Linked DNA regions of Arabidopsis thaliana. Each later gene encodes a partner of the first gene's protein in a complex. Each region holds a gene or a part of one and is shown on either strand. Other genes may lie near its edges.

The links. The genes of interacting proteins can lie anywhere in the genome.
Region 2: AT4G20980 (region 1) and EIF3K share a complex: the UniProt entries of both Arabidopsis thaliana proteins name them as parts of the eukaryotic translation initiation factor 3 (eIF-3) complex.

What each region holds. Positions count from the first base shown.
Region 1 is NC_003075.7:11,213,105-11,221,867, reverse strand, and holds AT4G20980 (Eukaryotic translation initiation factor 3 subunit 7 (eIF-3)), read right to left. Parts: upstream 4,988-8,763; 5' UTR 4,872-4,987; coding exon 3,096-4,871; 3' UTR 3,081-3,095; exon of another isoform or gene 2,800-3,080; 3' UTR 2,690-2,799; exon of another isoform or gene 2,488-2,689; intron 2,301-2,487; 3' UTR 2,230-2,300; downstream 1-2,229. Other genes in the region: ACA4 (alpha carbonic anhydrase 4), read right to left, coding at 742-816, 899-952, 1,073-1,231, 1,317-1,419, 1,504-1,610, 1,694-1,908, 2,006-2,096; AT4G20970 (basic helix-loop-helix (bHLH) DNA-binding superfamily protein), read right to left, coding at 5,656-5,730, 6,013-6,378, 6,478-6,609; PyrD (Cytidine/deoxycytidylate deaminase family protein), read right to left, coding at 8,338-8,763. UniProt on the Arabidopsis thaliana protein: mRNA cap-binding component of the eukaryotic translation initiation factor 3 (eIF-3) complex, which is involved in protein synthesis of a specialized repertoire of mRNAs and, together with other initiation factors, stimulates binding of mRNA and methionyl-tRNAi to the 40S ribosome.
Region 2 is NC_003075.7:16,037,494-16,042,467, reverse strand, and holds EIF3K (eukaryotic translation initiation factor 3K), read left to right. Parts: upstream 1-1,659; 5' UTR 1,660-1,850; coding exon 1,851-1,964; intron 1,965-2,054; coding exon 2,055-2,111; intron 2,112-2,204; coding exon 2,205-2,318; intron 2,319-2,548; coding exon 2,549-2,599; intron 2,600-2,680; coding exon 2,681-2,747; intron 2,748-2,941; coding exon 2,942-3,024; intron 3,025-3,207; coding exon 3,208-3,402; 3' UTR 3,403-3,817; downstream 3,818-4,974. Other genes in the region: CDC20.2 (Transducin family protein / WD-40 repeat family protein), read left to right, coding at 67-336, 417-998, 1,092-1,235. UniProt on the Arabidopsis thaliana protein: Component of the eukaryotic translation initiation factor 3 (eIF-3) complex, which is involved in protein synthesis of a specialized repertoire of mRNAs and, together with other initiation factors, stimulates binding of mRNA and methionyl-tRNAi to the 40S ribosome.

The DNA of each region.
Region 1 (8,763 bases):
CTCTATATGGTTTTACGTTCGGCAATTCTCTTGCTTCTTTGGTTCATATTGCGATTCTGATTGCTTATTTCAGGGGTTTCACCTTCATTCGACTGTATAATCTTCCTTGTTTTTGATACTCTATTATTGTTCATTATGGATCGACTTTGTTTTCTACCGTATCGAATGAGAGATGAGTAAAACCAAGACAAATTGCTACCAAAGCTTCTTTTGTGTAAACATTTTTGTCACGTGGTTATCGTATTAGGGACTAGTATAGATTCTTCGATATGGATTGGCTTGATGATATAATTGTCAAAAAAAAAAAACATTTGTGAAAGAAAGTGATATTAATCGAATGTATTAATCCTCTTGATGGAATACATTAATTGTATTGAATACATCAGGAAATGAAAAGGTTTTGAAGGAACATATGACTCCTTCTCACTTTTTTTTGTTTTGACCATACATATTTATGTTTATTTGTTGTTTCAAGTTTTTATACTGCTTGATTAGAGTTGGATTTAGTAGCTAACACTGCTTGCCTAGCTTTTATAGGACATACTGTTTTAGCAACGTTGATGTAATCAGGCGTGTTTTTTTTTTTCCGATGATGATTATTATAGTGGAATACTAATGGTATATTAAAAAAAAATACTCATCAATTGTTTTCTTTATTAAAGTTTGAAAAAAATCTCAAATATTACAAAATGATAATTTTGTTAAAAGGGTATAAATTACAAAATAATAGAAGTAAATATATCAAACATTTGGATCATAGAACCAAACTGATCTTCCCTTTGAGTCTTGAACCGGTCTTGAATTTGTCTCAAATCCCTATTGATCAGTCAACTAACTAAATTAGTAATAAAATCAATATTAGCTAATGAAACTACATTAGCAAATTTCGACTACTTACATCGTCAACGGCTTGCCTAAGAGCTGTAATTTGCTCCATTGATATTGTGTTCACCTACATATACCGACGTAAAAAAAATTACTGATGTATTTTGCAATTTGAATATTGAAAAAAATGAATATGTAATGCATAAAGAAGAAAATTACTATAAAAACGAAACAAAAATATAAATACCCTTTTGACGACAGTCCAAATGACGCCTTCAGTGCAAGGAGGAACAGTGAGAGAGCCAATGTATCTATAGAATTTTCTTGTTTGAAACCTAATCTCTCGTGGATCAATCATCCCTAGATTTATCTCTTTATTTCCCACTGCTTTTATTCCATTTAGTAGCTGCATTTTTTTTATAAATTTGAAAATAACAAATCAATAACAAACTCTATAAATACAATGTTTAACAATAATCTAAATATGATACCTTGGTGAGGAATTCATTAGGTTCGCCTAATTTGTAAAGAACTCCGATAACCGCAGTTCTGCCTCGTGCACTCGTGTGAACCATGTGAAGCTCTAGGTCGTACCTGTAATAATGCCAAATATCGTGTAAATACCACTTAATATGGGTCTATAGTTGAAAATGCTCATTAAAAATGAAAACAACAAACCTAGTTCCGTTAACGGTATGCTCAGAAGGTGAATGCCAATGGCATTGCACCAAATTAAAATCCGTTTTCCGTATTGTCATCTTCCCAGCATCTCCTTTCCATGATACCTTTAAGATTTCAAATGATTAGTGTTGTAATAATAATATAGTTAAGTGAGAATAACTGAATTCTATAATAAAGTTTTACGTACCATAATGTCATGGCCTCTGTTTGTAATTACAGCCGGAGCTGGTTTATATTGTCTTGTCCATGCTTGATCATGAATAAGACTGACTCTTTCGTTAGTAAGATCGATCGGGGATTGATATCTTCCGGTGTTACAAACTTTCCAGTGCGGATTTATTTTGCCCCATCCCTCTGGTCCCTTTTCCGTTTTTTGTTCGTAAGTAAATGGAGTTTCGTCGTCTGTTTTCAGATTAAAGTTAATAACAAATCATTAAATCTGAATTTTGATACAAAAGATTAATTTTACTAGAATGCAATAGAGATGTAGTAATCATACCGACTTCAGAATGAGCGTGTGAAATATTAGGGAAAGATAGATAGATGAAACACATAGCCATGAAGAAAATTGTTTTTGCGTTGGTATCCATGTTTCTCTTCTTTCGAGATTAGATTTTGCTTAATGGAGTATGTTATTATGTTTTGGAGATTGAAGGGTTTAGAGACAACCTATTTAAGAGGAGGCTTTTGGGGGATGTTTGTTCTGCTGTTCTGATATGGTTTTTGCCGTTGCTACGATTATTAGTTAATAATCTGATGTTACTATTGGAAACATGAAAAAAAAAAAAAAAAAACTGAATGCTTAGTAAAAACCATTTTGGTTGAGTTTTCTAATTTGGGGTTTATAATAATAAATATATGTGAAGTATGTCGGTTTAACAGAGATTAAAACCGACCAGGACAATAGGATCTATGTCAGTTTAACAGAGATAAAAACCGACCAGGACAATAGGATCAAGCTCATAAGAGAATACGCCAAACGACCGAAACAAACAAAAGTTGGAACCATAAAATACCAAATTTTATAAAACTAATGCAAAATGATTCAAGAAAATTTGGTGGCTATAAGAGTCATAGTAAAAAGATTTCTGTTCTGTAAACAATCCGTAATGATTTTCCAAAAGATGTCACGAAGATAGTGTTCTACAATCTCATTTCTGACTTAAAATTACAGCAGTACCACAAAAATTTGAAAAAGGACAAGATAATTAAAAAAGGAACCTCCATTGTTGTTGTTTGATTGAAGCTTCAACTCTCAAAAGAACCCAGAAACGAAAGGTGTAGACTTTGGACCTGAAGAATATAGTATCCAAATTGTGAATGACGATGCTTCATACGACGTTTATACTTATAATAAAGATCATCAATTAATCTAAGTCACCAGTTTCTAAACTATAAGAATGAAATTCAGATGAATAAGAACAAGATTCTATGGCTAAGAAGTAAGAACCAACTTTCTGCATTTTCTTGGGTTCTAAGTATAAATTCACGATCCTAAACAAGTGTTCAATCAAATCCAACAAGCATATTATGGTAACCGCCTTTTGAATTTGAGAGTTGTTTGTATGAACTACCTGACTTTATAACCATCAAGCTTGAGCATCATCAGCTTTCTTCTCCTCGGTTTCTTTAGTTGCAGCTACACTTGCTTCTGCTCCCTCTGTGTTTTCCTCAGTTGGCTGAACCTGTTCATCTTCAGGCAACGGTTCCTCAACGTAATCATTCTCGAAAGCATCAGGTGGAACCTCATAAATCCTCACTTGAGGCTTCGATGGATCCTTCACAAGAACATACTTCCCTTCGCTTAGTTTCATACACAGATCAACTATGGATTTCACAATCCCCCACATGTTAGAAGTGTTGAGATTAATCTGTCCAGCGAAATCCTTCGGCTTATACCCCAAAACAGATAATATAACATGGTTGAAATGATCACGAGGATGAACCCTAGAGACAAAACCAATCTTCATCATATCAGCATTAGCCAATAAAGCTTGTGCAGTCCATTTAGCCAACTTATTTCCATTGTTCTTCAATTCTGTAGCTAAAACCGCACCTCTCTGAGTTTCAAGCTTCTGTCTCCAATCAACACCAGAGTACTTAGGATCAAACTCGTTAAGAGCATTCAAAGTAAGAAACGACCTTTGGTTGTTGAGATCAGCAACACTCTGTAACTCACACCTCGCAACAAGATGCATATTATCATCAAGCTTCCACCTTCTATACCTATAAGCAACAGAAGCAATCTCTTCACCTTCATTAGCAAATGGATTGGCTTCATCAAAAGTTTCCTTCTTTCCATCTCTAACCAAAACCTGCTGCGAAAAGTTCTGATTGATGTAAGCAGCTTCCACACCTAGAGAATGAGCAGAATTGATATCATCTTTAGACTCAGGCAATGGCTCTTGAGATGTCTCATGCACAGACAACAAATCAAGCTGTGATCCATCTCTCTTGTCAAAGAACAGTTTGTTACCAACACGTTGAATAACAATATCCCAAGAGTAAACAGATCTAGGAGCACACATAAGAGCAGCTAATATAGCATCAGTAGCGAAAACAGTAGCTTTGTCTTCCTTAGCTAAACGCCTAATCACAGGATCATCACTAGTAGTGACTTTGAAGAAGTTCCTGTTCTTGAAACGCTCGAGTCTGCGTTCGTTTTTCGGCGTTATGCGATCGAAAAGGCGGTTGTAGTACTCAAGGCCACCACAGAGAAGAAGATCTTCTGGTTCTTGAACTGTGTACGAGAGCTTCGAGAATGTTGAGAAAGGGATCTGCTCAAGCATGTTCCACTCCGGCTGAATATCAACGGATGATTTGAAAGCGGCAGCTTCACGGCGTTGGTGATGGATGTTGTTACGGTTGTTATTGTAGAGACGATCACGACGAGCTCGTTCCTTCTCAGCATCACGCTTCTTAGCTTCAACTTCTTCATCTCGCCGTTGAGGAAGCTGATTCCGATTGTGGTGAGGATTGAAACGCCATTTAGGTCCGAATTTAGGACGCGGCGGAGGTTTACCGTCGACGAGACGGAAAGCTGCGTCTTCGTCGGGATTACCACCGGAGGAAGCGAGACCGAAGCCTTCGTCGATTGCGAAAGCGGAGAAATCGAAAACTGCAGACGGATCTGATTTGGATCCGGTGTTAGGACGAGCGGATGGATTAGAGAGATTGCGAGTCCAATCAGCTACACGGCCGAGCTTATCGGAACGGGAGAAGGAAGCGAAAGGAACGTTCGGGAGAAGATTAGCGGCGGCGACGCTGGTGGGAGAGGCGGAGGAGGAAACGTCGGAAGCGTCTGGAGGTCCCCAGCCATCGGAATTGAAAGGAACGGCGACGAATTCGAAAGCTTCGGTTACCATTTCTGAGAAGATAGTGTTGCAGCTGTGTGTGTGGAAAGCGGAAACCCTAATTCTTTAGTCTACGTTGAAGAGAGAAGGTACAAGAAAAAAACATTTTTGTTAATGTTTGGGCTCATGGGCTTTAGTATTCTTCAAAACCCATATATAACACTTGAAGTCTTAAATCATGTTTTTCATTTCTGACTTTGAGAAAAAAATAAAATAAAATAAAAATTTAGAATTCAAATTCATCAATTTGAAATAGTATAACACATTTTTTTTTGATAAACTCTATTTGCTGATCTGGTCAGCTTCGATAGAAACGCACCAAAGTGCTCCGAAGTAAACTTTTCCCGAAGGACCACAACACTATCTGTCCCGAATTTAAATGTTTTCTAACTAATACCACGGGATATTCAAACTCGGATCTGAGAGTTTCACCTATCACCAAAGTTTCTCCTATCACTAGATTACAAATGCTTGGGCAAGTATAACACATTGAAAAAAGGTGAAGTTATTTCGCTCGTTCATGTATTAATTCTAAGAAACTTTTTTTTTTGGTTTCGTTCTTGAAAATCATCATCCTAAGTTTCATATATTTCACAGCTTTGTTGATACCAAAAAACAAAATATATTTCACAGCTTTAAGTAGAGAAAAGTATATATTATGCTTACAAATGAAACATCACTCTCACAGCACATGATACAATTCAAGAAAAGGAATCTAGCTAACACCAAAAATAATTCAAGAAAAGGAACAAAAACATAGAACTTTTTTTTTTAATAAAGGAACAAGGAATCAATATTAGTGAACACTGTTCACAATCTTCTCCAGTCTTTCAGGAATTTGACTCCTAGCTCCATAATCGTGTTCTTCCACCTATATAAAATATAAATTAAATTTAGTTTACTAACATATGGATATTAATAGGAATCAGCTAGTAGAAACTTAACAATCAGATGGGAACATGCAGCTTCTTAGCGTTTTTGAGTGCAAGTTTTATTAAATATAAAAACAACAAGTATAAATATCATTCCCTAACTTTGAACTCATTCCCAATGTGTATACAAGCTGGATTAGACCTAGTTTTAACATAGTAGTAGTAGCAAAGTTTGATTCTTAAATTCCATTGCAAAAAATGTTTTACTTTCCGAATTATACCTTGCAGTGAAGGGTGTGGAAGACAGCATCATCAACAATGGAGTATCCAGCATGAGTGATCTCAGCTCCTAATTCCTCGGTGAGAACACGAATGATCTCACAAAACATAAACTTGTGTTCCAAGCTTGTCACAAGAAAGATGTGAAAAATGGAACCAGTTTCTTGAATCTCGATTTTTGGCAGCTTTCTTGGCACGGAGACATCGACGCTCGACGAAACCGATGAAGATCCGACGGAATTCAGTTTCTCCAAAGTTGTAGTCGCAACGAGGTTCCTTTTCCTTTCTCTCTTTTTCTCCACGTTCACTTGTAGCTTCTTGATGTAGTTTGCAGCTTCATCTAGCTGATCAGGTAGTGTTAAAGGCTCCTAACATGAAATAATAAAAGAGTTTAGAATATTAAGATCATCACCCATACATGGAATCTTAGATTATATAAGCATATAAGAGGGCCAAGAGGAAGAAACCGTAGAAGAATGATGAGGAAGAAGAGAGATGAGTTCTGAGTAGAGAGACTTCATTTGCATCCTTCTATTTTTCTCAACCGTTTTGCGATCTACAGATCTTGATTGACCTGTGTTTGAATGGCTCGGCTCCATTTCTTTTTTTATTCCTGAATTGTTTCACATAGACCATGATAACAAACTCAATGTTAACCAAGCTTATATAAAGAAGGAGGTTGGTTTAAGTGACATCTGATAATTAGTTTGTGCTAACTATTTACTGGAAAAGGGTTTGTAATATATATGTACCAAAGACTAAAAAAAAAAAAAGCAAAACAAAGTGGAAAAAAGTAAGTTCTTTAAATATATATCTTGACTCGTCGTTATGGTCAATTATATATTTTATGTGTTCATATATAGTTTTTAATGGTTCTGTTAATAGTTTCAAATTGGATTGAGAATCAACGCTAGTTTATAAGGGCATATGTTAAGCTATTTATCTACAATTGACTCAAATAAGAAGCTCGTTAACTCTCACATGATATTAAACCTCTCATTAAGAGTGAAAGATAACCAACATTACTACAAAAGACAAGAATCATCCACATATCGGTAATTGATTTTGCATAGAAAACTCATCATCACGTAGTTTTTTGAACAAATAGTCCAAAGTAAAATCTTTATAAATTAATACTTGATAAACTAATCTATTTCCCGGGTCTCAAATGGATCGTCTTAAATTGTTTCATATCTATCAATTAGTATTTTTTTATTATCATAATTCCAACATTAACTTATAGAATTTCTTTTTGGTAATATTTTGAATTTTGGACCATTACATTGCATATTTTGATCAATAATTTTGACTCTCATATATAGCGTATGTTCGAACTTGAGTTCGATATAAGTTACTCAATTCTCCAATCGGTTGAGTTAATCGTAGTTACAGTCACTTGCTATAGATATTTTTATATTTTATGACATTTGCTTAACAAATTTTTTTCTTTCTGCATTCCGTCATTGGAAAATACTTGTATAAATGCAAAAGGAAGAAGGATAAAAGAAAAAGGTTATGAAGTGGAGAGTGGTGGGGCTGAGTATGGTCAACTTTTTCGCTCAGGCGATTGCGTGGATTTTGTTGAACCACTCGACCATTGTCGACATAAAAGATATCCTCTTAATCTTTTGTTCCATCACCAATTTGTGTACCAACAATAACATTCATACTACAAATTTTCAGATTAATAGTAAATGATTAACTCAATTGAAACAACCATTATAAAGAGAGATGGTGTAACTGTAGAGTAATTTTTTAATACAATAATGCTATGAAACAATAAGAAAGACTAAAATTCATGCTATTGTAAATCTTAAATTTGAAGTTAGGAACTTAGGATTGTTAAATCATAAAGTGATTTAAAATTGACTATTGTATAGTGTTTATTTCGTTCTTTCTTTCGAATATCTCTAGATATATCGGTTTTGACAAAAACAAATCCAACATGGTTGATGTTTGTTGTCAGTTAGTTCACATTTCCACCAAAATCCAAAAAGAATTGTCAAATTTGTAACGCAATCGACATCAACAATCAGTTCTCATTGAATGTACTTCACATTCTATTACACATCCTTAATTTTTTTTATGGGTTTTGGTTTATGAACTCCAATTAAGAAAAAACATCTCATCTTAGGATACCCATCATGTGTAGGCCATAGAAGGTCGAATCAGATTCTCAACATGTGAAAATATTTTCTTTTGAAAATACAACATTTTCTCAAAAATCTGTTATCAATCTATTAATAATAGGATCTGTAAAACCTTAATAATACTATGCTTTAAAAAAGGTAAATATCATGACTTGTATTCATTCATACATGAAAACATCAAAAATAGCCCTCTAGCAAAACGCTTCCACCTAATTGCTTAGACTGCAAATCTTTCACATGCTTTGATTCTAACCACTTCATCGACGCGATCTGTCTCTCATCTTTTGTGCTCCATTCCGGCAAGACCTCAATAATTACTTTCTGCAATAGTTTCTGCTCAAATCCATCTCTCAGAAGAACTTCAAGGTCTTTGACGTTCCCCCTCAAATCTAACAAGACACTGCATAGTCCACGGTTGTAACAATAATCCAAAATGGAATCCAAGTTTATCTTTTCCAATACTACGGTTTCGACCCCGCTACTACTGATTCCGGATTCTGCAACCGATTCCTTTGCGGTGAAAACTACAACTTTTGGACCCGATTCTTCCACAGTGTGGGAAGAAGCAAGGATATGAGACTGTTGTGCATTGCTAGCTACTAT
Region 2 (4,974 bases), 4.8 Mb from region 1:
TCACTTACTGGTTGCTGCATTAGAGTTGTATTGATCTGTTGCTAAACTTTCTGTTGTGATTAACAGACTTCTGAGAGAACCTTGGATGCACCTGACATTGTTGACGATTTCTACCTCAACTTGCTGGACTGGGGAAGTGCAAATGTCTTAGCCATAGCGTTGGACCACACTGTCTACTTGTGGGATGCTTCCACTGGTTCTACATCTGAGCTTGTGACCATTGATGAGGAGAAGGGACCTGTCACAAGTATCAACTGGGCTCCTGATGGTCGTCATGTTGCAGTTGGACTCAACAACTCTGAAGTCCAGCTGTGGGATTCTGCATCCAACCGTCAAGTAATTACTACTCTCTCTCTTTTATGTTGAGATATAATATCCGGTGTTCTTAGTCTGATGTGTTTCTCATATTTCTGCAGCTGAGAACATTAAAGGGTGGTCACCAGTCAAGAGTAGGATCACTGGCATGGAACAATCATATCCTTACTACTGGAGGAATGGATGGACTGATCATCAACAATGATGTGAGGATCAGATCACCCATTGTGGAAACTTACAGAGGTCACACTCAAGAAGTTTGTGGGCTCAAGTGGTCAGGATCTGGACAACAACTAGCAAGTGGTGGCAACGACAATGTGGTACACATCTGGGATCGTTCTGTCGCTTCCTCAAACTCAACCACACAATGGCTGCACAGGCTTGAGGAACATACATCTGCTGTGAAGGCTCTTGCGTGGTGCCCTTTCCAAGCGAATTTGCTTGCAACTGGTGGTGGTGGAGGAGACAGGACGATAAAGTTCTGGAATACTCACACTGGGGCTTGCTTGAATTCAGTAGACACTGGTTCCCAAGTTTGTTCGTTGTTATGGAGCAAGAATGAAAGAGAGTTGCTTAGCTCACATGGGTTTACACAGAATCAGCTTACACTTTGGAAGTACCCATCCATGGTGAAAATGGCTGAGCTCACTGGTCATACATCAAGAGTTCTATATATGGCCCAGGTAACGTCATCAATTTCTTTAAGTGGTGAAGTAGTTTGAGTCTTTGAGGTCATTCAGTCCTTAAACTTGTGTTGTTTGTTGTGTTTTCTACAGAGTCCAGATGGTTGTACTGTAGCTTCAGCAGCAGGAGACGAGACCCTGAGGTTTTGGAACGTTTTTGGAGTACCAGAGACTGCAAAAAAAGCTGCACCAAAAGCAGTTGCCGAGCCATTTTCTCATGTGAATCGTATTCGATGAAGCTGTTGAAGACTAAAACAACAAGGAAAACCCATTGATTGTTACAAAAAGAAACTATATATTTTTATTTTTATTTTATTACCAAAGGATTCATTCTTCGTGAATATAAAGATTACTTGTATATATTGAAATTTGAAAAAAGAAAGATTATGATTTTATACTCTTGAAGGATATCCACATTTATTATTCTACTGGAAACAAAGTGAGACTTCATGAAGTTGTGATCAGAGAACTCGTAGATGCTGACAGTTTTGTTTGAAAAGATGTTCACTGGTGAACTTTTGGACCATGGTTAATCGAATGCAAACTCTAGTGTAGTATCAATCTTTAAAAGCAAACTGAGAAAATATTTATTTACCGAGTCTGTGGCATCAAAATGGCTTAAAAATAGTTATTTACTAAACAACCCTTTGTAGTTTCTCTGTCATCCTAATTTAACCCAAACGTTTTGTCAATTGCACCATTAGCCCAAACGACAAAGCTTTGTCGTTTTGGCTTTTAAACCCTAGATTCGTCTTATCAGCGAATCTCCTCTGCACATTCCTCAGTGATCTATCAAAGTTCGAAGAGACCGACGCAAAAGGGACAGAAACGGAGAAGGAGAAAGAGGCAGAGATGGGAGTAGAGATCCAATCGCCGCAGGAACAGAGCTCTTACACCGTTGAGCAGCTCGTCGCCCTTAATCCTTTCAACCCTGAAATCCTGCCTGATCTCGAAAACTACGTTAACGTGCAGTTTCCTTTCCCTTTTCTCTCAAGCCGGATTCTGTTGTAGAAATCGTGTTCCATTGATTGTTGTTGGTTTCGTTATGATTTTCAGGTTACATCGCAAACGTATAGTCTGGAAGTAAACCTATGCTTGCTTCGGCTCTATCAGGTGCTCTAGTTGTTCTTAAGCTGGACCTTTTGATACCAAATTCAAGAGTTTTAGTGTCTCTTTTCGTTAATTGGTATTGTTGCTTTTATGCAGTTTGAGCCTGAGCGCATGAACACTCATATCGTGGCTCGAATCTTGGTCAAGGCTCTTATGGCTATGCCAACTCCAGACTTCAGCCTTTGCCTCTTCTTGATTCCCGAAAGAGTGGTATTCTTCTTTCCTCTTAACTTCACAATGTTTTGCTTTCTTACATATATAGCTTATCGTAGATACAGAAGAAACGATTGTTCAAATGTTTCTGACTCAAGTTATTATGCCATTCCAAGTTATTTCTGTCAGTTCAGTCTGTGTACTGAGCATTCATGATAAAGTGTGAGTTTCAATGTGTTGGATTCTTGAGGACTAATAAATGTACTTGTTTGGATTGTGTGTTTCAGCAAATGGAGGAGCAGTTCAAGTCACTAATTGTTCTATCACACTACCTTGAGGTACGCAAACATCAGTATTAGTTAGTTGAGAGTTGAAAAGGTGTGCATTGAGTATTTAAAGCACTTGTTTTTCTTTTGCAGACTGGGAGGTTCCAACAGTTCTGGGATGAAGCTGCCAAGAACCGTCACATTCTCGAGGCTGTTCCAGGTAACTAACTTCTGAATCATAAATAAATCGTCTACTAATAACAAATTTCTAGATGTAGATTTGTTACTTAAGGATATTTGTGTGTAGATGTCTTATGGTACGAACAAAGTCCTCAGTAGTGGTTTATGGTACTGTCTATTCATTTTATGATTGTGTCTAGTGTAGATGTCTTATATGCGAGAGATTAAATGCAGGTTTTGAGCAAGCTATTCAAGCATATGCAAGTCACCTTCTTAGCTTAAGCTACCAAAAGGTTCCAAGATCAGTGCTGGCTGAGGTATGATGTTTGGTTTATGATCTCGTTTTCACCACGGATAGCTTAAGTCATCAAAATAGTAGAACTTCGGATGTGAAATCTTTTACTTTCTCATATAATTTTCTGTTACGAATATTCCACATCATAGTTCTGGAAATCTAATTTGTTGACCTTTTATTTGTCAATAAATGACAATTTTCACAGGCTGTTAACATGGATGGTGCATCTCTAGACAAATTCATCGAGCAGCAAGTGACTAACAGTGGATGGATTGTTGAGAAAGAGGGTGGAAGTATTGTCTTACCACAAAATGAATTTAACCATCCGGAGCTCAAGAAAAATACAGGTGAGAATGTTCCCTTGGAACACATTGCCCGCATCTTCCCCATCCTTGGTTGAACCAATTCATGAGAACACTGCAAATTTTCCTTTTGTCTCTTGTTATCTTGTGATGTACACTTTTAAGACACCGTAATGTGAATTTTGGCAATGGCCTTCCTCTTTGCAATTTGACAGATTTTCTTAAAAATCTAGTAGACCGAGACTTTGCCATAATTAGTAGATCTTCATAGTCTGAGCTCTGCTTCTTACCTTTTTTTTTACCTTCCATGGATTCCAATACTGGTTTCTCAACAAGTGTTGGAATTGGCTCGTTTCTGATTGATTATCTTCTGTTTACTTCATTACATCTAAATAAACTAAACGAATCTTCAGACAACCCAAACAATTGTCTTCTTTAAAAAGCAAAGGAAAAAAAAAACTTTTGTTTAGGTTTCTTGGAATATAGAAACTGACACGGCAAATTTGTATTGAGAAAGTTTGAAATACAAAGAGACTGTCTATGTCTTGTCGTCCTCTCTACACAGATCACATACGAAGATTGACAGCCATCCATTTGGAAGCTCACATGTTGACACCAAATCATGTCACGTGCACAATTTTCTCTTTTCCCATGCATATTTTGACTGCTCCCTATGTGATAAATTTGACTGATTAAACTATAATTAGTTAGATCATCTCGTATCTAAGATGATTGCTTAAAACAATACTATTATTCTACTAACAACTAGGTTATTCCCAAGATCATAACTTTTGATTTTGATGTAACTAGTTTTGTAATTTTGTACATATATGAGACTTTTTTGAATTGCTTAACAGAATAAATAATTGAATTTTATGAATATAATATATAAATTTTCAATTTGATCGACAACAATGAACGGTGTTTTATTTATAATTGTTTTTTTGACAATCATGAACCTAATGATTTGTTTTTTCTATTTTATTTAGTCGACATAATGAAGACTAATGAAGATACAATATGTGATTGAAGTGAACAAGTTAGATTTAATTAAGATACGTGGAGGATATAAAGAAGGGTGATAAATACGTGAATAAAAAGTGAAATAAACAAAGGCAAACGATCAGACAGACAAGTCGTGAACATAAAAACGGGAGAGACAGGAAAAACAAAAGAAAGCCAGACGAGCACCAAAAAAGAAACTGCAAATCTTCGTTTATGTAAATCTTCTTACCGTCTCTCTCTTGTATTTCTTCAATTTCAAAGGTGGCTTTTTTTTCTTTCTTTGTTGGGTATTAATCTGAGAGAAATTGAGGAAAACTGTTTTCCCCTTTCTATGTTCTCAGCTTGGCACTTTTCTTTGAGATTATGGTTAATTGGTTCCCTTTTGGAAATTGATTTCAAATCTTATCCAGAAGAAATTTGGTGCCTTCTGTTTTTAAACAAATTTTCTAGAGTTTCCGTGTTTAATTTTTGTTTCTTATTTTGTTTTCTATTAAAAAATTCGTTTCTTGCTCGTGTTAGTTTTCGCATTTGGAGTTTCCTGACAGCGAGAGTTGCTCGTTTTCTGGGGTCACAACAGAAGAATTCGAGCTTGGAAGATTGAAATTTGAGATCTTTTGATCTTGAATCAAGCATAAATTCTGGATTTTGAAGTTTGAGAGTGACCC